Cricetulus griseus: one gene and its partners. The protein of the gene in region 4 purifies or fractionates together with the protein of the main gene of each other region. This does not show direct contact. Links are inferred from orthologs where the notes say so. Each region holds a gene or a part of one and is shown on either strand. Other genes may lie near its edges.

Region 1 (3,500 bases), on a different chromosome or scaffold from region 4:
ACCAACGACACGTCATCCTTATGTATAACTGCACTGCAGTGGAGGCCTCGTGGGGCCTGGAGGGACACCTGGGAGAGCATGAATGCTGCTTAGCTTTTCTGGAGAGGTGCCCTGGACATCATGCAGGGCCTCTGAGGAGCGCTGACACTGTGGCTTCTAACCCTAGCTTAGGTACTATGACAAAGTACTCTGCCACATGGTGGTACACACCTGAAATCCCAACCCCCAGAAGGCTAAGCCTGGAGAATTGAGATTTTTTTTTTTTTAAGATTTTATTTATTTATTATGTATACAACATTCTGCTCCCATATATATCTGCACACCAGAAAAGGGAACCAGATCTCATAACGGATGGTTGTGAGACACCATGTGGTTGCTGGGAATTGAACTCAGGACCTCTGGAAGATCAGTCGGTGCTCTTAACCTCTGAGCCATCTCTCCAGCCCGAGAATTGAGATTTTAAGTCTACCTTGAACCACACATCATATTCTACGGCCATTTGGTATTACATATGGCTCTGTGACACATACACAAACTAAAAGTATACACACTGTTGTGGTATGAATGAGAAATAGCCCAATGTATTTGATCACTTGGTCTCTAGTAGGGGCTTTTGGATTATGGAACCTTTGGGAATTGGCACCTTCCTGGAGGAAGTAGGTCATTGGGGGTAGCTTTGAGGATTTGTGTCTTCAACCAATTTACAGTTCACTCTCCCCTTCCTATGTGTGCTTGAGAGGTGCCCTCAGCATCCTGCTCTGGCCACCTGCTGCCATGCCTTCCCTGTCTTTACAGACTCACCCTCTGAGACCTTAAGTTGCTTTTGGTCATTGTACTTCAGTATGGCAATGGCAAAATAACTAACAAGGACTATCAGCAGGACAGACAGGCCAAGGATCACATTAACTTCCATGGCCTGATCCTGAGAGGTGAGTGTCAAGCACAGGCCTTCCCCCTCCAGTCATGAGTGCCTAGCCTGTGGTTACCTGAGTGGTGGCAGCTCTTGAGAGGGCAGTACTGCAGATGCTTCCCCAGCCCCTGGACAGGCCTCGGACCAGCAGGCTGGCCTGGACCCAGCCCATGCCTCAGCAGATTCAGCCACCAGCCTAGTCAAGAGAAGTTGAGACATCATTGAGCCAGGCAATACAGCTCAGATGGAAGAGCTTAGTCTACCAAGCCCCAAGTGTTTATTTTTGTTTCATTTTGTTGTTTTTGAGATAAGAGTATCATGTAGCCCAGGCGTGCTTCAGATTTACTCTGCAGCCAAAGATGGCCTTAAACTCCTACTCCACTCTCCAATGCTGAGATTACAGGTATGAGCCACCAAGCCTGACAATTTTTTTTAATTTATTTTTTATTACATATACGGTATTCTGGCTGCATATTTGCCTGCACACCAGAAGAGTGCACCAGATCTCATTACGGACGGTTGTGAGCCACCATATGGTTGCTGAGAACTGAACCCAGGTCCTCTGGAAGAGCAGCCAGTGCTCTTAACCTCTGAGCCATCTCTCCAGCCCCAAGTCTGATAATTTTTAAAATTATATTTATTGATTTATTGTGTGTATGTGTGCCTACCTCATGCATCCACTGTACATGCACTTTTGTGGAGGTCAAGAGATAGCGTGAAGTTGGTTTTTCTTTACCATGTGAGTTTTAGAATTAAATTCAGTTGTTCAGGCTTGGCAGCAAGTACCTTTATACAACGAGTCATCTCACTGGCTCATACCTGGAAGTTACTCTTCATTTTTTCCCCCAAGACAGGCTTTCTCTGTATAGACCAGGCTGGCCTCGAACTCACAGAGATCCACCTGCCTCTGCCTCCCAAGTGCTGGGATTAAAGGCGTGCACCACCAACGCCCAGCTCTTTCCCTGTTTTTTGAGGCAGGTTTTCTTGTAGCCCAGGCTGGCTTCATACTTGCTATGTATCTAAAACTGACCCTCTTGCTTCTACCTGAGTGCTGGGGTTACAGGTGTATACCAACACACCCACCTCCAGAAAGTTTCCATGGTAGCAAGGATAATGAAAACTCTTCCTAACATGTTCTCTGAGGCCTGGATACACTAATACCAAAACCCACAGGTACACTAAGAAAACTACAAATCATTGCCTCTTGAATATAGCTGTAAAGTTCTCTTGCAGTGGATTTACAAACATACAAAAAGGATTCTACATCATAGCTAAGAGAATTTGTCTCCAAAATGCAAGGGTAGTTTAATATCTGAAAATTTATTTAATATATTAATAGAACAAAAACCCCAAATTACATTATTTCAGACAATGCAGAAAACTCTTACTTTTTATTTGTTTGAAACAAGGTCTCACTATGTAGAACAGGCTGGCTGTGGGGTTCCCTGTAAGTGTCATGATCAATGGTGAGACAATCTGGATGAGGTTAAGCACAACTTAGCTGGTGCTGGGTCCAAACTTCTGGAGTCTAATGTCAAGTGGTTTATTTCTTACACATTTAAACAAAGTAAAATTTTAGAAAAAAAAGTTTGCATGTCATGTGACAATTATCCTGACAAAGCATTAGGCATGACTACATGGAAACTGCCTTGCAAAGTGCATCTCTGTAGCAAAGCCCCTATGACCTTTCCCACAAGAATGGATTCTGCTGACTGAGAACAGTGATCAGGACAAGAGCCTAGGGAGGAAGGGTTTGTAATAAGCATCAGGATGGGTTCTTTTTGGTTTTTCGAGGCAGGGTTTCTCTATGCAGCCCTGGCTTTCCTTGAACTGGCTTTGTAGAACTCACAGAGATCCACCTGCCTCTGCCTGCCAAGTACTGGGATTAAAGGTGTGAGCCACCACTGCCCAGCAAAGGATGGGTTCTATTGACTGAGAAATAGTACTTAGAAGTCTAGGGGGAATAAGCATAATAGCAGGCTCTTTTGTAAAGCACACTCGACCTCTTTCATGAGGATGGGCTCTATTGACAGAGAATGCTCAGGATTCTTGGGGATTCGATGAGGGCTGGCTTTACAGAATAGCAGTCACATCCACTCATGGCCTTATGGATGGAAAACAGGTGTCAGTTTCTTCATTCTCTAGTGCTGTCTGTAAGCTGCGCCCTCCACAGCTGGCCTTGAACTCAAGAGATCTGCCTCCTGAGATCTGGGATTAAAGACATGTGCCACCATGCCCAATGAGAGATTCTTTTGCCACAGTTCAGAATCCAGACAAGGGTGTGCAGTCTGGCCACTTCTCAGTGTTGCACCAGAACTTCCAGTAGTAGCACTCAGGCAAGAGAAAGAAATAGAGCCGCCATCGAGACAGCTCAGTTGGTAAGTGCCTGAGTTCTATCTCAAATACCCAGGGTGAAAAAAGAGATGGGACTGGTGAGATGGTTCACTGGGTAAAAAATGCTTGCTGCCAAGTCTAAGGACCTGAGTTTGATCCCCAGGACCCACATGGTGGAAGGAGAGACCTGAATTCTACAAGTTGTCCTCTGTGCTGGTGTCATGGCACATCTGTATATACATACTCAGGGATGTAC
Region 2 (4,053 bases), on a different chromosome or scaffold from region 4:
TGCTATTATTGTTAACATTTTTTTGTGTGTGTGAAAAAAAAAAAAGCAGCAAACATGTCCTTGCCTATGTAGCCTAGGCGGCCTGGGAACTCACAACGAAGCCCAGGTAGACTTTGAACTTTCTCCAGAGCTGACACATCTCACTAGCAACTGGAAAGTGGACACAGATGCAGCACCCACAGGAACTACAGATACAAACATGGGTGCCTCCTGACAAACAGGCAAAAGCAACTGCTAAAGCCTGGAGAGGGGTGGGCAAGGGGAGGCAGCCGGCGGGGTGGGGACAGAGAGGTGGAAGAAGCTGAGCTGGAGGCACAGTTCTGGAGGGGAGGCAACCACAGAGGAAAACGAACCTAAGCTTAGACACGCACCCGGTCCTTCACCTCATGCACTTGTATTTCCTTATTTTGTGTGGAAAGAAAAACAGCTATCTTTGGTCCTTCCTTGGGAATTAATTCTGGATTTTAACAAACTTGACATATGTCACAACGTATCACAAACAGCTCTATGTACGTATCCAAGGGACAATATATTGACCCCCCCCCAGGAAAACTCCTGAACAACCACCTCAACCAGCACACAGAAGTAGCCTTGTGGGCAGAGCTCAGACCAGAGTCAGGAAAGCCAAGTGCATCTCCCAACAGGTGACATCAAAGAGCAGCCCTGGGCCTCAGTGCAGCCCCAGAGTATTAAATTATCCACAAAAAGATGTGTTCTTCCGTACATACTGTGGTTATTTCCAGGCAGAGAATCTCTGTCTGGTTCTTCAAGTACTTGTGAAAAGTAACACAGGCCCTGCCCTAGTCAGGGTTATTATTGCTGTGATGAAATGCATAACCAAAGCAACTTGGGAAGGAAAGGGTTTATTTGGTTTCCACTTCCACACTGTAGGCCATCACCAAAGTACATCAGGACAGGAACTCAAGACAGGGCAGGAACCTGGAGGCAGGAGCTGATGCAGAGACCATGGAGGAGAGCTGTTTACTGGCTTGCTCAGCCTGCTTTCTTATAGAACCCAGGACCACCATTCCAAGAATGGCACCACCCACAATGGACTGGGCCTCCCCCACCAATCACTAACTAAGAAAATGCCCTACAGGCTTGCCCACAGCCTGATCTTACGGAGGCATTTTCTCAATGGAGCTTCCCTCCTCTCAGATGACTTTAGCTTGTGACAAATTGACTTAGTGCTATCCAGTACAGGTTCCCCCCACCAAAGTGACAGTGATTCATGTAGTCCCATAAAGAAGTGGCTCTCTTCTGTTGCTTGGGTGGGACAATTTAATGTCTGGAAATGGTTCAAGCCAGTGCCACAAGACATTGTAACTGTTAATAAAGTAACTGCTGTTTAAACATACTTTACGGCTGCAGCTGCTGAGTGTTGGGTGAGAATCCTCCTCTTCTGTGTACTTCCTCTTGAAATATGTGACCTTGGATGTGCTTATAGGATTTGGAATTCCCCTGTAATGTGATCCTGCAGTAATAAATCAGATAGACAAATGACACGAAGCCTGCCAGCGGTTCTCCAAGCAAAATGCTTTCATTTCCTTTCCCTGGAGTGGATAACTTGGCTACATCCCTGACTGTATACGCAGTGATGAAAAACAAACATTTGTCTTCATAGTTGCAGCTACCAGCGGACTGAATCCTGTGAGTCTGGGAAGGTAAAGATTTCCAGGCCACATCAGAGGAAAATGTCACCCACCTTTCAGCATTTACTAAATGCCTGGGATCTTAACTCTCTGTACAGGCAAACAGCGGAATTCATGGATGGCGTTGGTGGTGGTGGTGGTGGTGGTGGTGGTGGTGGTGGTGGTGTGTTGTGTGTGTGTGTGTGTGTGTGTGTGTGTGTGAGAGAGAGAGAGAGAGAGAGAGAGAGAGAGAGAGAGAGAGAGAGAGAGAGAGAGAGAGACCCTGTCCAAAGCAATACCAGCATTGACTCAGACCCCACCTCACAGAGGTAGTAAATCATGGGTACGAATTGATTTCAGGGTTAGTAAACAAATGCATACATACATGGAGTTATAATAGCTTTTCTTTTAAGATACGAAGTTACATATGGAAGCTTAACATTTGGAGTGATTAAATGCTGTTTCACTCTGGTAGTGTTAACACGTCAACCATGAATACAGCAGGGCCTCCTTTGAGGACTTTAAAACCTTTTCAGAAACTAGACTTTCATGAAGCTTTCATTTCAGTTTCTTTTTAAAAGGAAAAAAAAAAACTATCGCTTTATAAACACTCAAAGGAACTTATGTGAGACTATTAGAATTAAAGCCCAGAAGAATATATTTCTATTTTCTTATCAACTGTGTGCTTCATGAAGAAGAGCAGCTTGAAGCTGTGGTAAGGGTGCAGACTTCTTTATGCCTGGTGGGGCAGAAGCTCTGCTTGTGGGCCCTGTGATGTGTACATCCCCGAGGACCATTCACTTCCCAAGGACACAAAGCCTGAATCCAAACTTTCAGTATCTGGTTCAGACCCTTAAAAAACAAACAAAAAACCAAAAACCCACTGCTCCAGGATGTCCACAGCAGATGGACTGTAGAGCAAGTTAAGTAGGATTTCCCAAGGAGCCCAGCCTGACTGAACACCACCTCCTAAGGAGAAGGCCAAAGGCAATACCTGCCAGTTGAGGGCTGGCTCCTCGGTCTCCCTGCAAAGGAAGCTGTGCTGGCCCTGGGGGGCTCACACCTCTGTAGCTGTCAGCCTCCCATAGCGTTTGGTACCCAGCAATTTCAGCAGCTCCTTCTGAGACAATGGGCTCGCAGAATCTATTCATGGACAGAACCAGCGTCATCTCTGACAGCCTTAGACCTGGAAAAGAAGGGGTGGGTGAGTTGGAGAGATATACAGCCTGGGTTAGGAGCCAGCCTGAGGATGATGGTCTCTGGTACTTGGGAAGGCTTTCAGTTCCTCTCCTTTCCCTTCATACCAAACCGTCAGACTACCTTTCCCAGGACACCTCAGCAAACTCTTGCTGCTCTCAGCTTAGCTACTGCAAATGGCAGCCTGCATCTCAGGGCGGATCTTTAGAGCCCACTCTTATTGTTCTCGGATCCGCTCAGCCCCTCTCAGACAGCTGCTCTGTATCCTAAATACATTTTCCTCCCGATCTTACGAACGCACCTCTAAGAGGAAGGGCTAGAAGCCCTGTGCTTCCCTTCTATTAATAAGGTGAAATCAATTTTCTATTCAAGCCTCTAGGAGTCCCCTTTGATAAAATCTGCTGTCAATGGGGGAGGGGGACAGGGGCAGGACAGAAGTCCTAGGGTCCTTCCAGCACTTGTCTCTCCTCCCAGTTCCTCGGCCACACTCTCTCCTCCCGGGGTGAAGCAGGCAGACACTCGGCAGTTGTTTCCACAGCCCTTGTCGGCCTGAACTGGGTCTGCCTCCAGTCACAACACTGTGAGATGAAGACAGAAAATTGGCTCCCGTTTCCAGCCGTGAGTTGCAGCCCCACAGGAGCCAAGCCCAACACTAACCAGGCAGCAGAATATTAAACAGGAGCCAGGGCTCTGGGCAGAGGCAGCCAGCAACTCTTTAAACTGTAAAGCCAGATACCAGGCAGGAACTTTCCAAGAGTCAACACATTGCCGTCTGCCCTCCTCTCTGGTTCCCACCCAGACCTTAGGACGCTGGGAGCCAGCCTGGCCTCAGAAGCTCTGCTTGGCCTCCCAGACTCTGACCCTGTGTAATCCAGGCTATGAGGCCACCTCCATGGGGCTCAGTGGTGACCCTCAGAATAGGGTCAAGAGTATGTTCCAGGGAGAAAGGGAGTCTGGGGCCAGGGAGCAGACCCAGCAACTCCGATTCCTGGGTCCTTTCAGACAGGAGTTCTCAACCCTCCTAACTCTGCAACCCTTTAACCAGGTCTTCATGCTGGGGTGACCGCCCCAACCATAAAATTATCTCATCACTACTTGGTAACTGTAATTTTGCTACTGTTATGAATTACATTGTCAGTATCTGTCCTCTGAAGGTCTTAGGTGACCCCTGTGAAAGACTGACTACCAAAGGGGTCATTACCCAAAGGCTGAGAATCACTGCTGT
Region 3 (3,500 bases), about 37 Mb from region 4:
TTATATTATTAATGCATATGATTTGAACATAGAGACAAAAAAAAAAAAAAAAAATGGCTCCTGCTTCGTCCACTGCTGCACAGCCCTCACATTTGTTCACACAAGTATTGTGATGCCCAGGCCCACTATACTTGTAAACCCTGGAGGCTGGCATTGATGCTCTCATTTTATACATTAAGAGCATTCCAGCTGACACAGATTACTAGGAGAGCAGGGTCTAAATCTCACCCCCGAACTGAAGCCCCCTCTCCCTCCTCACCATGATGTCTTCTAAAGGACCACACTATCGGGTATTCACACAATTTCTCTTTTCTAGAAACTCTGAACATAAGAAAACACTAGAAAATTATGGCTGTTCGCTGTTCACTATGTTAGATGCCTATGTAATACTTAATAACTCTCAGGCGCATCACCTCATTTGAACTCTTCCATCCTGGAAACAGCTAGAGTAATAACTCATTTTTACGCGAGTGTGCGTGTGCGTGTGTGTGTGTGGGGGGCATCACTCTTCAGAAAGGGGAAGATACTTGCCCATAATCGACTGGTGGTTGGAAGAGGTGGCTGTCCAGTGGGGCGCAACTATAAGTTCAAACTCTCTCCACTGTACCTCACTATCTCAGAATATCAATCTTCATATAACTACCCACTTCCCTGCCCTCAGAAAAGGATCCATGGGCACAATTTCTGGATGACTTACCCTGCATCTGGCCTATGGTAAGATCTTTATCCAATCTATCAACACCTAGAACAAAACAGGAGAATCTGTGAGTAGCTCCTAGAAAAGGCCTTGGGAAATAGGTTTCACTGAGTAAATGCTGCCTCAGAGTTATAAACACGCTCAATCCAGACTGGCACATGTATATTCTCACCAGATGAAAATTTCAAGTTGAGATTTCTGGGTAATTATGGTTTTTCTTAGATTCATTATTTCATTTACGTATGTGAGTATTTGCCTGAATGTATACATGTGTACCACTTATGTACCTGGTGCCTGTAGAGGTCAGGAAAGGGTGTTGGATCCCCTAGAACTGGAGTTACAGATGGCTGTGAGCCACAATGTGGGTGGTGGGAACCAAATCTGGTTCTCTGTAAGAGTAACAAATATTCTTAACTCCAGCTCCAATCATGCTCATTTAAAGATGAAAACAAGATTTTACTGTCTCAATTCTCACAGTATTCAGAATGTTGTTACAACACTGTCTGTAGCTCTGGGTACAAAGGCTAGGTCAACACCATGCAGCACTGGAGGGTGTTTAAACCTCATTTCACATCTAGATGACAGTACTCACTCACACTTCTATGGACTAAACACAATTCATGGTGAAGCCCTAGCCCCCAGTGTATTTGACAATAGGGTCTACAAAAAGGCAATATGTGGTTATAAGGGTGGGGGTCTCTGACACAGTAAGATTAGTGTCCTTGCAAGATCCAGAAAGCTGTCTTGCTTTCTCCTAGCCATATAAAAGCACAGAGAGGTCTGCAAACCAGGAAGAGAACTCTAAGAACTTAACTCGACTCATGCTCTGATCTTATACTTTCAGCCCCCAGACTGTAAGAAATTAGATTTCAGTTCTTTAAGCCATCCAATTTATGGTATTTGATCATTCCAGCTAAACACACGTGTTTAGCACACACACACACACACACACACACACACACACACACACACACACACACACACACACACACTCACTTACCAGCCAAGAGCAGCAGTTTAGGAATAGGACAACTAAGAAAGAGATTGGATAATCCCCGAAACCAGCCATCCCAGTACTTTTCTGTTTTTGCCAGTTCAATTCTCCAGGTGTATGGATGGTCCTTCTTGGTCTGCAGGAATAAAAGCAAAGTGAGTCTTAGGGCAACCCCTGAGGAGCAGGGCAGAAAGCGTGTCTGTGGAAAGGAAGGAAGGAAGGAAGGAAGGAAGGAAGGAAGGAAGGAAGGAAGGAAGGAAGGAAGGAAGGAAGGAAGGAAGGGGACTTGCACTTCTCGAGGACCTTCCTACAGTGCTGCAGGCTGTCTTGACTTCTACTTTTGGATAATCTGATGGCTTCTTTTCTATTCCTATTTGTTTTCTTCTGGCTCACATGAGCCTCCTGCCTCAACCTCCCAACAGCAACAGGCAACATGTAAACATGAGCCTGGTGTGGCGGCATCTGCTTGTCATCCAAGTATTCTGGATCTGAAGCAGGAGAATTGCTAGTCTGAGACCAGCTTGGACTAAACATTATCTTACAAAAATCAAACCAACCAAACCCAAACCTCCCACAATGAGATACTATTTTATAGCCACCAGGATTCCCTCTAATAGGAATGAAAAGTGTTACAGCCTTCTGAAAACCATTTTCTCAGAATTCCCACAGTTCCCACTTCACCTAGCAATTCCCTGCTCATGTATACACCTCAGGAAAAAAAAAAATGTCCACATACAAGGCTGAAATGGATATTCACAGTAATATTATTTATAATGAACAGCTATAAAAATCTACATATTAATTGATGAATATATTAAAATGTGGCATATTCATACAATGGGATATTTTTCAGACATATAAAGAAAACACCGATGTATGATGTATGCAACAACACGGATGAACCTTAAAAAGTCTGTCATCCAGTAAAAGAAGCCAGGCACAAAAGATCATGCTATACAATTCCATCTATATGTAATGTTCAGATTAAGCAAATCTTCAGATTAGTGATTGTCTTGGCTAGGAGAAATGGGGAGTCACTGCTTATGGATGGTCATTGCTTAATAACTGCACTTGCCCCTTCAAGCACACTTCTGGAGTTTACAAAATCATACAATGGTGCTTATTTTAAAACACTGCCAAGAACAAAGAATAGGCATTAAAAATCAGGAGCATCTAAAAGACCTGCTTTAATTTTTTTTTTGTGTGACTATGAGTGAGTGGGTACCTGTACCAAGGGTACCTCTACAATAATAACTAGTGATGGTTAAGTGTGAAACAGCACATGAAAGACAAATGTAACTCACTGCCTTGATTCCAAAGCTACTGTTTGCTAATTTCCTTGGGCAGACCTCTTCATTGTGGGTGGACAGAGAGAGAGGTACTAGGGATGACCTAGGGCCTCAGCATGCTTGTGTCCCTTGAGTTACATGCCTGGCTCTTTTCACTTTCCTTGTTCTTGTAATTTTTAAGACCAGTTTCTCTGAATTGCTCAGCTCAAGCAGGCCTTGAATCTGTCATCCCTCTGCCTCATACTCCCAAGTCTAATTTATGAGTGAAGATTCTACTATGTTGTAATGAGAGGGAAATCCCTTACAATGTGTTGCAAGGCCCAAACAGATGAAAAATTATTTATATGCTTGTAAATTCTAACGTAGTATAAAGCACTATTCTGATCAGTGATCTCAAGGATGACAGGAAGATCCTCATTAAATAAAAAATACTTTAAAAGCCAGGCAGTGTTGGCACATGCCTTTAATCTCAACACTCAGGAGGCAGAGGCAGGTGGATCTCTGAGTTCAAGGCCAGCCT
Region 4 (2,711 bases):
CCCAAGATGAAGTTTCTACAGAAACCAAGTGGCAATTTTGTATAGTTACATTTAGAATCTGAAGTTGTGCACAAGCTCAACCATTCTGCCAAAGGCAAAAAATTCTCAATTTGTTAAGTGCAATATTCTGAATAATTTCATTATGTGCAACTGAAACAAATAAAGACTGCAATGGCATTTGGGTTTAAAAACACTTCACAGTGTGTTGTGTTTATTAAGTAGCTCCACAGAAGGTGTGATGGCAGGTACAGTGGGTGAGTAAAGCTGCCTGAGCCTGCTCGGGCGTATCCTTGCACCAGTGGTGTTGCAGCCCACTGGGGGGCTCCAAGGTCCTCCAGAGAGGACCGTGGGTGGTGGCCACACCATGTCCAGGTTAAAGCCCAGGGATGGATGGCAGAGATAGAAGGAAGAGCTGGAGAGAGATGTGATGATTTTTTTTTCCTCTTGGATGTTAATTTTTTGGTCTATAAATTGGAAAGGAAGGCTCAGACTTAAATAAATACATTTGAGTAACGGCCTTTATTGAACAAAGTCCACCAATTCAGCTTCGAGTAGGTTTTCCCTTCAGCAGCAGCATTCATCTCTCCCAAGACTCCAGCTGAGACCCCTTCTTCTCCTGTGTCTATGAGGGAAGTGGAAGTGCGTCACTATTCTCAATGGAGAGGACAATGCCATTTCTTTGACGGGAAAACAACCGGCTTAACTATGCAAGACAACACTTGGTCCTCCAGTCAGTTTCCTTAATTAATTTTGTCCTGGAATATATACAAGTTATTGGTGGCAGCTACAGCAATAATGCTCTCCATGGGGTGCCAGGCTGTGTGAAGGATCTTCTTATTGAAGTCCAAACTGTCCACGCTAATCTCGTCCTTCTTTCTCTTACCCCCTGTACATACTTTCCGGGGCTTCAGGCAGGCTCGGGGTTTGCTGTTCTCTCTTGAGGCTTCCAGCGTAACATCTCTCCGAGTGTTTCTATCAAACATTCTAAAGAAGTTGTTGTAGGAGCCCGTCATAATGGCACTGTTCAAGAGAGAGAGGGAACACTGAATACCCAGCAGAGCAAGAAGAACCCAGGGCAATGGCATAAAGTGCAGACCCTCCCGAGGCCCAATTTCTACACTACCAGGAAGAAACAGTGCAGATTCTCCAGTGAACCCCCTATATTTTCATGTCCAAGAGAAAGTCACAGACCCATCATTTTAAAAACATTCTTATAAAGGCCAGAAGAGTGTCAGATCCCTAGCAGTGGTTCGCACAGGAGGAAGTGAGCTGTCTGAAATGGGGGCTGGGGATAGAACTCCTCCATCTCTCCTAATTAATGTACAGAAGGGGAGGAAAGAGGAGAGACAGAGAGGGGAAGAGCAGGGTAGGGATAGGAAAGGGAGGAGGAAGGAAATTAACTTTGTCCAAGTCACTTTTAGTCTCAGCATTTGGGAGGCAGAGGCAGACATCTCTCTCAGGTTGAGGCCAGCCTGGTCTACATAGTGAGTTCCAGGACACCAAGGTCTATGCAAAAAACAAACAAACAACCCCCCCCAAAAAATCCCCCATCCCCCAAAACCCTATCTTTCTTATTTTCGAACTGATAGTTACCATAAGCCTGACGACCTATCTCATCAACAATTACAGTCAAAACTGATCATGTCAGTCACATTTCCTAATGGATGTTAACTCAGTTATCAAATAATGTGACTAATTTAATTTCTAAGTTTCTTTTAAAGCTAGGTACAGTGGATAGTGCACATCTATAATCTTACCACCTAGACAGCTGAAGCAAGAGTCAGAGTGAGTATTTGGTTTGCAAGCTGATTTAAGTAAACGTGTGCCCATGTATGCACGTAGGCCTGAGGCTGAACAAGTTTCTCCCTTAATTGCTCTCCACTTTACATACCGAGGCAGGGTTTCTCACTGAATCAGACTGTTCTGATTCCAACAAATCAAGCTGTCCAGCTTGCCCCTGAGATCCCATGTCTGCTGTCCCAGTGTTGGGAATTATTTTCCACTGTTGGGGTTATAAGCAGCTGCCATACAGTGAGGATTCCCCCCCCAATCCTATTTTTTTTATGTTTTTACAGACAAGATGTAGCTCAAGCTGGTCTCAAACTTGCTGTGTAGCAGATGACCACAAACTCCTGATTTTCCTGTAAGTGCATGGAATACAGCTTTGTGCCAACATGTTTACTCATACAGAGAGTTAGAGGCCAGCCTGGGCTACACAATACATAATGCTGTTTCAAAACAAACAAAACAAAGAAACCCAGTACATTCCACAGTGCCCTCTGACTCTCCTGGCAAGTGAAAAATCAACCAATGGCATCTATCCTCTCCTTGGAAAACTCCAAGCATTCCTACTCCTATCCAGACCTCTATGTCTTGCTTTCTTATTCCTACATGGCTAGTGGTCTTTACAATGCCTAAGTCCTTCAAGTTACTACATTGCTCAGGGCTCTTCCTAGCTGCCTGTAAATATTTTAGCAGTATGGTTAACCTTGTCCCAAACTCAACACCAAGCAAACTCAGAAGAATCCTATACATAGCTATTCCTGTTCATTCAAACCTATTGTTTAAACACAGGGATACATAGTACCAGAGGGGCTGGAGATGAGAATCATGGTTTGGTACACTCTCGAGATAGCACCTGAAATGAATGTGCAGGACTAAGTTTGCAGAAGAGGACTCACTGTTAGAGTCCTCTGCAATTCACTTCTACA
Region 5 (4,184 bases), on a different chromosome or scaffold from region 4:
GGATTGATGTCCTTTGACTTTTTAAAAATAAAATCAGAATGATGTTCGGTGGGTGTGGTATTGCACACCTTTAGTCCCAGCATGGGGAAAGCCAGCTAGTTCCAGGACAGCCAGAACTACACAGAGAAATCCTGTTTCGAAAAACCAAAAATAAATAAATATTTAAAAGAAATTCTGATTAAAATAAATAAAGCTTTGGGGCTGGAGAGATGGTTCAGTCATTAAGAGCACTGGTTGCTCTTCTAGAGGTCCTGAGTTCAATTCCCACCAACCACATGGTGACTCAGAATCATCTAGAATGGGATCTGGTGCCCTCTTCTGTCCTGCAGACATAGGAGAAGACAGAGCACTCATAAGAAAGGAAGAAAGAAAAGAAAGAAAGAAAGAAAGAAAAGAAAGAAAGAAAGAAAGAAAGCTTTGAAAGACCCAGGTCCTGCACCTGTCCATGGTCACTAGCCAAGTCACTGAGTCCACTCAAGATGGATTGTCAGTTGGCAATAAATTTAAGCAAACTGTGTTAGACAGGAGCATGGGACATCTCTGTGCAGTTGTCTTAAGTACCACTTATTATGTGGCATCAGTAAATGTACCCATGAGATGCACTATTACCTGGTACATTCTCTGTGTTCCCCTGAACAGGTCATTTGTAATGCAGCAGGCTCTTATCAGAACCTCACTAAGCTGCTCTCCTGTGGTCAAGCCTTACTCTCACTAGTATTTTTTTCTACATAAACACATTGTTTGGAGAAACCCTACTGTGGGATTAGGTCAACTTTGCACACAGGCTCCATGAAAGTGGCACTTAATTTTATGGTGTCTAAGAGTTGTCATGCATCTTTTGTATAATAAAGTGGGTGTATACATGATTTCTCCTTTTTAGAATTGAAACTAAAAGACTATGAGGTAATTTACAAAGTCAGAAGGCACTAATACAATCTTGTGGCCCCTTTGCTAGGTACTTTTAAGACTCAGTGGATGGAACCCTTTCCCCATACTATTAGCTTGACATAAAACAAATTTACAACATTATTATGGGAACCCAGAACTTCTCTATTTGTATTTTTAGAACTTACTAGATTTCCCCAAGTGTGGATTAGTTCAGTTACTGTGTTAATAAACAAACAACAAATAAAAACAACCAAACAAGCAAACACTTCGGAGAAGTAGGTAACACCTCCTATTTATTCCATTTAATCTGTGTGACAACCGAGAATTTAGGGAACTAAGTGAAAGATGCCAGCTTTAGGTGAGAAACAATGACTTTGTACTTGAACACTGTTCCTTGATAGGCCAGAAGCTTGGGAATTTCTAGAACCTCCCCTTTTGCTTGTGGTCAGATGCTGAAAGTGTGACGCTAATGGGAAAGGATCTGACTCCAAAATAATATCTCAAATACCTCGTACTGTTTGTCGTTCAGGATTGTCCCTGCTTTGTATTGCCATAGCTTCTATTCCTGCCAAGAAATGGTGTGAGCAGCTGGAAACTGCGCACGAAAGGAGCCGAACTTTACTATGTAGTAGATTCCAGCACTCCAAACCAACGAAAGTTCCAATAGTCCGCTTCTAGTGAGGTTGGCTAAGACAGCTCACAAATCGGAATTTGTGACGACAGACAGTTCTGTGGGCCTCACTCACCTTCACCGTTACCTCGGACCCAAATCCCACCGCACTTGGTCCCTGGGCCGCCTGCGATCGCCCTCTTTAAGAGCTTGCTCCGCGGGACTAACGTTTGAACCGGCCCTGGCGCCCCTCCTCCGCCTCCGATTGGCTGGGGACGGCGCACGAGGCACATCGGCCCGCCCAGAACGGTTGGCGGCGCTTTGTGATTGGCGTTCGAGGAGTCTATATAAGGCGCTGTGTGGGGCTCGTTCCGCTCAGTTTAGCGACCAACGCAGATCAGGTTTGTTGTCTGCGGCGAAGAGGCGGAGGGGGCTACGCATCACCGGGTCTTTTCTCCACCGAGCTTTCAGCCGCCGAGGGTGCACCCCAGAGGCGATCCTGTTTCCGCCTCCCTCTCCTCTCGCAGCTTCGGCGTTCACCCCATCGTCTAGGCGCCACTCTCGAGAAGCGGAGGCAGGATGGAGTTCAAGCTGGAGGCTCACCGCATCGTCAGCATCTCCCTCGGCAAGATCTACAACTCGCGGGTCCAGCGCGGCGGCATCAAGCTACACAAGAACCTCTTGGTGTCGTTGGTGCTGCGCAGCGCCCGCCAGGTCTACCTGAGTGACCCGTGCCCTGGCCTCTACCTGGCCGGCCCTACGGGTATCCCGACGGTGCCGCCGCCTCAGCAGCCCGGAGAGCCGGTGGCCGGGCCACCCTCCGGTTGGGGAGAGCCGCCTCCGCCGTCCGCCCGCGCCGCCTGGCCGGAGCCCGAGCCGCAGCCTCAGCGCCCTTCGGTGTGCCACACGCCGGGAACGGGAAGCTCGGAGCCGGTGGCCGCCGTGGCCGGAGCTGGGGACGCTCTCCCGGGCCGAGAGGCAGACTCGGCGGCAGCTGCTTGGGGCCGCGTGGAGCGTCCGCGCGCGATGGCTTCTGGAGGCGGCCCGGACACGTGCCCCGAGGGGCCCCGGGCAGTGCGCCGCCCGTGCGGCTGTCCCCCGGCCCGGGAGGAGCAGCCAGCCGAGGACGGTTCCCCCGCGCCACCCGCCCCGTGTCCCAGGAAGCGCGGCGCAGCGGGAGTGGGTGGTGGCCGCGCTGGCTGCCCGGCGCCCGGCTCGACCCCTCTCAAGAAGCCGCGCCGGAACTCGGAAGAGCAGCCGAGCACCGGCGAGGAGGACACGGACACGGACGAGGAGATGGAGACCGGGAACGTGGCAAACCTCATCAGCATCTTCGGCTCTAGCTTCTCGGGACTCCTACGGAAAAGCCCTGCGGGCGGCCGGGAGGAAGAGGAGGCGGAGGAGAGCGGCCCGGAAGCCGCCGAGCCTGGGCAGATCTGCTGCGACAAGCCGGTGCTGAGAGACATGAGCCCCTGGAGCACAGCCATCGTGGCCTTCTGAGTCTCCGGGGCCCGAGCGGCTGGAGCTTGAGCAGCGGGCGTCCCCGAAGTTCGGCCGTGGCCTTTCCCGGCCCCGAGGACGAGCCGAGACCGTAGGCGCTGGGCGCGTAGGGGGAGACTGGTTGCTGCCGGGCAGCACATCGCCCCGAACGGGGCAGCCCGGCTGGGCCGTGGCTCTCGAGTCTCACGCAGAGAGACCTAGAGTTGGAGGCTTATCGGAAGAGGACGATCGATCGTTAAATTTTGTGTCTGTGTGTGACTGTGTGTGTGTGTGTGTGTGTGTGTGTGTGTGTGTGTGTGTGTGTGTGTGTGTGTGTGTGTGTCCGTGTGTAAGTTTGTCTTGTGTTGTTGAGACTGTTCTGTGGTTCTGGAATGCACCACCCCTTCCCCGGGGCTTGAGACTTTTGGGGGCGCAGACAGGGACTTTCCTCTGCCAGCAGCACAGAAAAGGAAGCTGCTGAATGGCTCGAGGCAGGGGAGTTCCCCATTTGATCTTGGGGGAGAGAGGGACTTTACACACTCTCATGAAAGCTAGAACCTCATCGGCGCGCCGAGTGGCGTTTCCTCACAGGATTTCCTCAGACGAGAGGGAGTTCGCCTGGAGTAGAGACTTGTATTATTTTTCTCCCTCCCTACCTTTCTCTGGCACGGAAGAAGCGCTTCTACCCTGTGATTACTCTGGGACAGCAGAACATTAAGGGACCTTCAATTCCTCAAAGGGGATAAAAAAGCTTGGTGAACTTCACAGAAGAGTTCAAGCTTGGAAATACGGAGTTTATAGAGAAAAGATATATTTTTAAAAGCTCTAGCTCAGAACTTACTACACAGTGCTTTTAAAAAGTGTTTAATGAAACAAAGTTTACAGACGAGCTCTAAGTGGAAGGACCTTATGGTTTTGTAGATACGGTGACTCCAGTCTTTGTTGTATAAAGGTTGGGGGAGCTGATAAGGTTTTTGTACAGTATTTTCTCCTCCTCTGTATTGATTTTTGTATAAAAATGTAACTTTACGTGTCTAACACGTATTAAATATTTTGAAGCAACTCCATTGCCTGCTTGTATGTAATCACCTGTCTGGGTTTTCAACAAAGTGGGGGGAGGGGCAGTCAGTCTGGGAAATGGAAGGTGTGGTTCTTAAGAGTCAGTCATTGACAGACTAGGGACATTGTTGGTTGTCTTAAGTATCAA
Region 6 (4,019 bases), on a different chromosome or scaffold from region 4:
GCACATGAGTGTGTTTTTCATATGGATTGGTATAGATGCAGAGTCTACAGGACAAACTGCTCAGATGTGAGGGAGGATGAAGGACTTAAGAATGCCTTCTAGTTCTGGACGGCAGCTCACTGAACTAGAACATACCCAGCATGCAAAGGCCCTGGCTTCAATATCTAGCACCACTAAAAACAACAGCTATCTTCTAGGTTGTGCTGGTATAACTGGATAGCTGGAGACAGCCCATCTATAACTCTGTTGATTTCTACTAGTCTCCACTTTATCTGTTACCCATCTATGTCTGGAGTTCTACAGAATGGTTCATAGTAGAACTAGGAATCATGGGAGCCAGCATCATATATTCAATATTTAAAGCCCTAAAACAGATGGTCCTGCCTTGTCCAGCTGGTCAGTTTCTAGTCACCCTTTAAGGCTTAGTTCATCTGCATAGTGGGGCATACCTTTAATCTCAGTACTCCAGAAGCAGAGGCAGGAGGATCTCTGAGTTCAAAGTCAGCCTGGTCTACATACAGTTTCAATCCAGGAAAGACTACAATAGCAAAACCTTGTCTCAAAAATACAAACAAACAAACAAAAAAAATTAAGTCCCTTCCCTCCCCATCTCTGACAAGCCTACAGAGGCAGAAACAAGTTCTTATATCCAGCTGATAAAAACAAGAGCTGAGCTAAAGTGCCTACATTATTCATTCACTCAACATTATTACCACCTGCCCATAAAAAGACTTACATAAAAAATGTTGCAGTGTAGCAGATGCAGAAATCCAAAACTAACCATTAGGCCAAGCTCCTGGAGTATAATCAAAGCCATAATATGAACAAAGGGAGTCAAGACCATGATGGGGAAGCCCATAGAATCAACTGCTCTGAGCTAGTGAGAGATCACTGATTCTGATCTAACAAATGGGGGATCTGCATAAGACCCAACTAGACCACCTTAATATAGGTGGCAATGGTGTGACTGGGACAATATATGAGGCCACTGACAGTGGGTCCAAGACCTAACACTAATGCACAAACTGACTTAGTGGAGCCCATTCTATATGGAGAGATACCTTGCCCAGCCTAGACACAGGGTGTGTCGGGTGGAGAGGTACCTTGGTCCTACCTCAACAAGATGATGGGACAGACTTAGTAGACTTCCTAGGAGATACCTTACCCTCTCCAAGGAGAAGATGGGAGGTGGCGGGGAGAGGAGAGAAGGGAGGGGGAATGGGATTGGAATGTAAAAAATTAAATAAAAAAATACTATAAAAAAAAAAAAAATGCTGCAGTGTGCCTATCACCAGATAATAAATGTGGTTAATCCTACAGAGTTCCAGAAGGGTAGGCCATAGGTAAGTACTCACCAGCAGACAGTGGGCAAAGTCAGGACCTCCCACCAAACCAGTGAAATTTCCCAGCTGCTCAGCAAGAGCTAACAGCACCTCATCTTCATCATAAATTGTATCTGAAAATAACAGCAGTTGGTTAGCCCATAGAGACAAGTGCCACTAAGCTAGTACTTACACAGCTGCTGCAACTACAATTCTAAATAGTATTGTCTTCCTTGTCTAAATCAGAAGTCTTCATGAATGTTTCACAGAATTACTAAGAAATTAATATCCCATGTCAACTACCTTCCCATTAGTTACATGCCTTATGTTTGAGTATGTCTGGCTTAACATTTTTTTCTATACACATTGCAGAAGGCACCTGCTCCTTCTAGTACTTATTGCTACACTACGTAACAAACTAAAAACAGTTTGAAAGCCAATGGAAAATGGCTTTCTTTAAAGGACACATACCTGTAAGGAAAGGCAGCAGTTCAGTTCGAGTCCTTTCCACTCCGAGTGCTAAAGCAATAGTAGATAACTTCTTGATACTGTTGAGACGGAGCTTCAAAAATAAAGTGGGAAGAAGAACAAAGCAAAGAGATGGTTGCAATTCAGGTCAAAAGAAGCAAATAGGTGAAACACTGGTATACAGTATATAACGAGGATGAGTCTTTCACTTAGATCTTATTCCTAAAATAACTCAAGGACCGTTTAAACACGTCATTAGCCAGAGGCTATCCTAGGGAGAACACTGAAGGGCCGGGAAAGAAATGAATGAATGAAAACACGCGGGCAGTGAGAGATTCTGAAAAGAGAGAACTCTGGACCGAAGGAAGCAGGTGAAACGGTTAAACACAACTCCTCCCTTTTCAGAGAAAAGTTCCATCACAACTGATGCACCACTCATCTGTGTTAATCAGCTGTGGCGCTCTTCCCACCCAACTAGCCAGGCCAGTTTGCCAGCAGAGACAGGCACTCCGCAGCGCTTCAAAGGCAGCCTGGTGCCCGGGCCGCTCCTCCGCTCCCGGGCGGCCCCGCAACCCACCAGCAACCCACCGGTGCTCGTCCACCGGAGGCGGGAACTGGCTTGGCTCCCCGCCCACTGCCGGAGCAGCCGGGTGCCACCACCCCAGAGGCTCGAGGTCGAGCTGCTGGGAGTCCAGGCGGACCACCACGGAGCCTCCGCCACCCCGTCCCCTACGAGCGCTGAATACAGCTCTGCCGTCCCCGGGGCCGCCCCCACGGCTGAGCCGGCCTTCCCGCTTCTCCACCATGTGCGCCTCCGCCCTCTCCTCGACTCCCCAGCCCCAGCCTAGTACCTGCACGTCCTCATTGCGGAGCTCGTCGATTAAAACCGCGATCGGGTAGAGCGAATCATCTCCATCTCCGCCGGCTGCACCCGGACCGGCCCCGGGCCCCGCTGCGCCCGCCATGTTCTTTCTCCTCTGGCTTGTCGCCGCCGTACGCCCCGCGCCCCGGCCACGCCCCGCGCCCCGGCCACGCCCCACGCCCCGGCCACGCCCCACGCCCGGGAAGGCGGGGCTAAATCCAATCGGCCGGCTCTGGGGAAGCAAAGGAGTCGAGTTTTTAGCCTGGGCGCAGAGGCTCCGTCCTGACCCCCATTGCTGAAACTGGAGGTCTGAACTCCAGAAGAAGGGCGGGCTGAGAATACCAATGGAACCCCTGCATCCTTTCCTCAGCCGAAAGAAACATGGGCAGGGATTCATCCTCTGCTCGCTGTGCTCTGAAGGAGAGGGGTCTGCCTGAGTGATGGGTGCCGAACCTCAGTAGAACTCCAGGCCAGAGACTGTACCCTAGGCCAGGAGGAAGAAACTTTAGCACCTCCCCCAGTTTCATGGTGGCCTGGAGCCACTGGGTCTGAGCCCTGATTTCCCCCTGGGCGAGAAGCCTCCACACAACCCCTCCAGCTCTTCCTCTGGCCTGTTTGCCAAAATCGTGGCTGGCTCCTCCTACTTAAGACAAATAATGAGTGCGGTGAGGGAAAATGAACAGTGCTGTCCAAACTCCCCAGTCAATATTTTTTCCACGCAAGTTGTTTAAAACATGCTCTCTTGTTTTTGTGTTTCTTTTCAGTGTGGTACTGGAATGGCGCCTTCTGTTGTATTGTCTTCCTTTTTTCACTGCTCTACAGCAAGAAGCCCAACCACCAAGCTTAACTATGCACAGTTTTAATCTCCCCGGGTTCGGTGGGGTGGAAGGACCGGCCTCCCTAGACCTCCAGAAGTCCTCCTAGAGGACCTCAAGAGGAGGTGGTCCTGGGCGTTGTTTCTTACAGAACTTAAAGGATTAAGTTTTCACTTGCCCTCTGTAATTGCACCAAGTAACTTGAATGCCCTGTCTTTTCATGTTTTAGACTAAGATGAAGCAGCTTAGATTGGTAGTTCTGTACGACCATCACAAGTTCTCAAATGACACTATTCTGTGCCTTAATGAAATTGTTAAGTTACTAATAAATGCAATTTAGGAGGTAAGGGTTTGTTTTTTGTTTTTGTTTTTAAAATATGGGACTCTTAGCAGGAAACAGTCTTTAGTAGTCAAAGCTCGAAAACCAACAGACTTCAGCAGTTTTGGTTTTTGTTTTCTTTTCTCAAAGTGGGTCTGTGAATGTATGCTTGAAGGCTTTCATTTTATTTTTATTTTGATAACTTTTGGATTCCCATAAGGCACCGGCTGGAC

The links.
Region 1: the proteins of serine/threonine-protein phosphatase 2A 55 kDa regulatory subunit B delta isoform (region 4) and Ecsit purify together in Homo sapiens (affinity purification with mass spectrometry; 3 studies listed by BioGRID and IntAct, counting the BioPlex papers as one, with this or other methods). This does not show direct contact. The link is inferred for Cricetulus griseus from reciprocal best matches to the Homo sapiens genes PPP2R2D and ECSIT.
Region 2: the proteins of serine/threonine-protein phosphatase 2A 55 kDa regulatory subunit B delta isoform (region 4) and Sertad4 purify together in Homo sapiens (affinity purification with mass spectrometry; 3 studies listed by BioGRID and IntAct, counting the BioPlex papers as one, with this or other methods). This does not show direct contact. The link is inferred for Cricetulus griseus from reciprocal best matches to the Homo sapiens genes PPP2R2D and SERTAD4.
Region 3: the proteins of serine/threonine-protein phosphatase 2A 55 kDa regulatory subunit B delta isoform (region 4) and Ppme1 purify together in Homo sapiens (affinity purification with mass spectrometry; 4 studies listed by BioGRID and IntAct, counting the BioPlex papers as one, with this or other methods). This does not show direct contact. The link is inferred for Cricetulus griseus from reciprocal best matches to the Homo sapiens genes PPP2R2D and PPME1.
Region 5: the proteins of serine/threonine-protein phosphatase 2A 55 kDa regulatory subunit B delta isoform (region 4) and Ier5 purify together in Homo sapiens (affinity purification with mass spectrometry; 3 studies listed by BioGRID and IntAct, counting the BioPlex papers as one, with this or other methods). This does not show direct contact. The link is inferred for Cricetulus griseus from reciprocal best matches to the Homo sapiens genes PPP2R2D and IER5.
Region 6: the proteins of serine/threonine-protein phosphatase 2A 55 kDa regulatory subunit B delta isoform (region 4) and Ppp2r1b purify together in Homo sapiens (affinity purification with mass spectrometry; 4 studies listed by BioGRID and IntAct, counting the BioPlex papers as one, with this or other methods). This does not show direct contact. The link is inferred for Cricetulus griseus from reciprocal best matches to the Homo sapiens genes PPP2R2D and PPP2R1B.

What each region holds. Positions count from the first base shown.
Region 1 is NC_048597.1:134,975,358-134,978,857, forward strand, and holds part of Ecsit (evolutionarily conserved signaling intermediate in Toll pathway, mitochondrial), read right to left. Parts: intron 1,107-3,500; 5' UTR 1,083-1,106; coding exon 987-1,082; intron 69-986; coding exon 1-68.
Region 2 is NC_048598.1:2,353,527-2,357,579, reverse strand, and holds the start of Sertad4 (SERTA domain-containing protein 4), read right to left. Parts: upstream 2,801-4,053; coding exon 2,626-2,800; intron 1,475-2,625; coding exon 1,359-1,474; intron 1-1,358.
Region 3 is NC_048596.1:99,195,970-99,199,469, reverse strand, and holds part of Ppme1 (protein phosphatase methylesterase 1), read right to left. Parts: intron 1,828-3,500; coding exon 1,698-1,827; intron 743-1,697; coding exon 698-742; intron 1-697. UniProt on the Homo sapiens protein: Demethylates proteins that have been reversibly carboxymethylated. Demethylates PPP2CB (in vitro) and PPP2CA. Binding to PPP2CA displaces the manganese ion and inactivates the enzyme.
Region 4 is NC_048596.1:62,097,709-62,100,419, forward strand, and holds the end of serine/threonine-protein phosphatase 2A 55 kDa regulatory subunit B delta isoform, read right to left. Parts: intron 1,021-2,711; coding exon 741-1,020; 3' UTR 501-740; downstream 1-500. UniProt on the Homo sapiens protein: Substrate-recognition subunit of protein phosphatase 2A (PP2A) that plays a key role in cell cycle by controlling mitosis entry and exit. Involved in chromosome clustering during late mitosis by mediating dephosphorylation of MKI67.
Region 5 is NC_048598.1:36,655,457-36,659,640, forward strand, and holds Ier5 (immediate early response gene 5 protein), read left to right. Parts: upstream 1-1,384; 5' UTR 1,385-2,077; coding exon 2,078-2,998; 3' UTR 2,999-4,044; downstream 4,045-4,184. UniProt on the Homo sapiens protein: Plays a role as a transcription factor. Mediates positive transcriptional regulation of several chaperone genes during the heat shock response in a HSF1-dependent manner. Mediates negative transcriptional regulation of CDC25B expression.
Region 6 is NC_048597.1:162,627,407-162,631,425, reverse strand, and holds the start of Ppp2r1b (serine/threonine-protein phosphatase 2A 65 kDa regulatory subunit A beta isoform), read right to left. Parts: upstream 2,801-4,019; 5' UTR 2,756-2,800; coding exon 2,642-2,755; intron 1,885-2,641; coding exon 1,794-1,884; intron 1,457-1,793; coding exon 1,356-1,456; intron 1-1,355. UniProt on the Homo sapiens protein: The PR65 subunit of protein phosphatase 2A serves as a scaffolding molecule to coordinate the assembly of the catalytic subunit and a variable regulatory B subunit.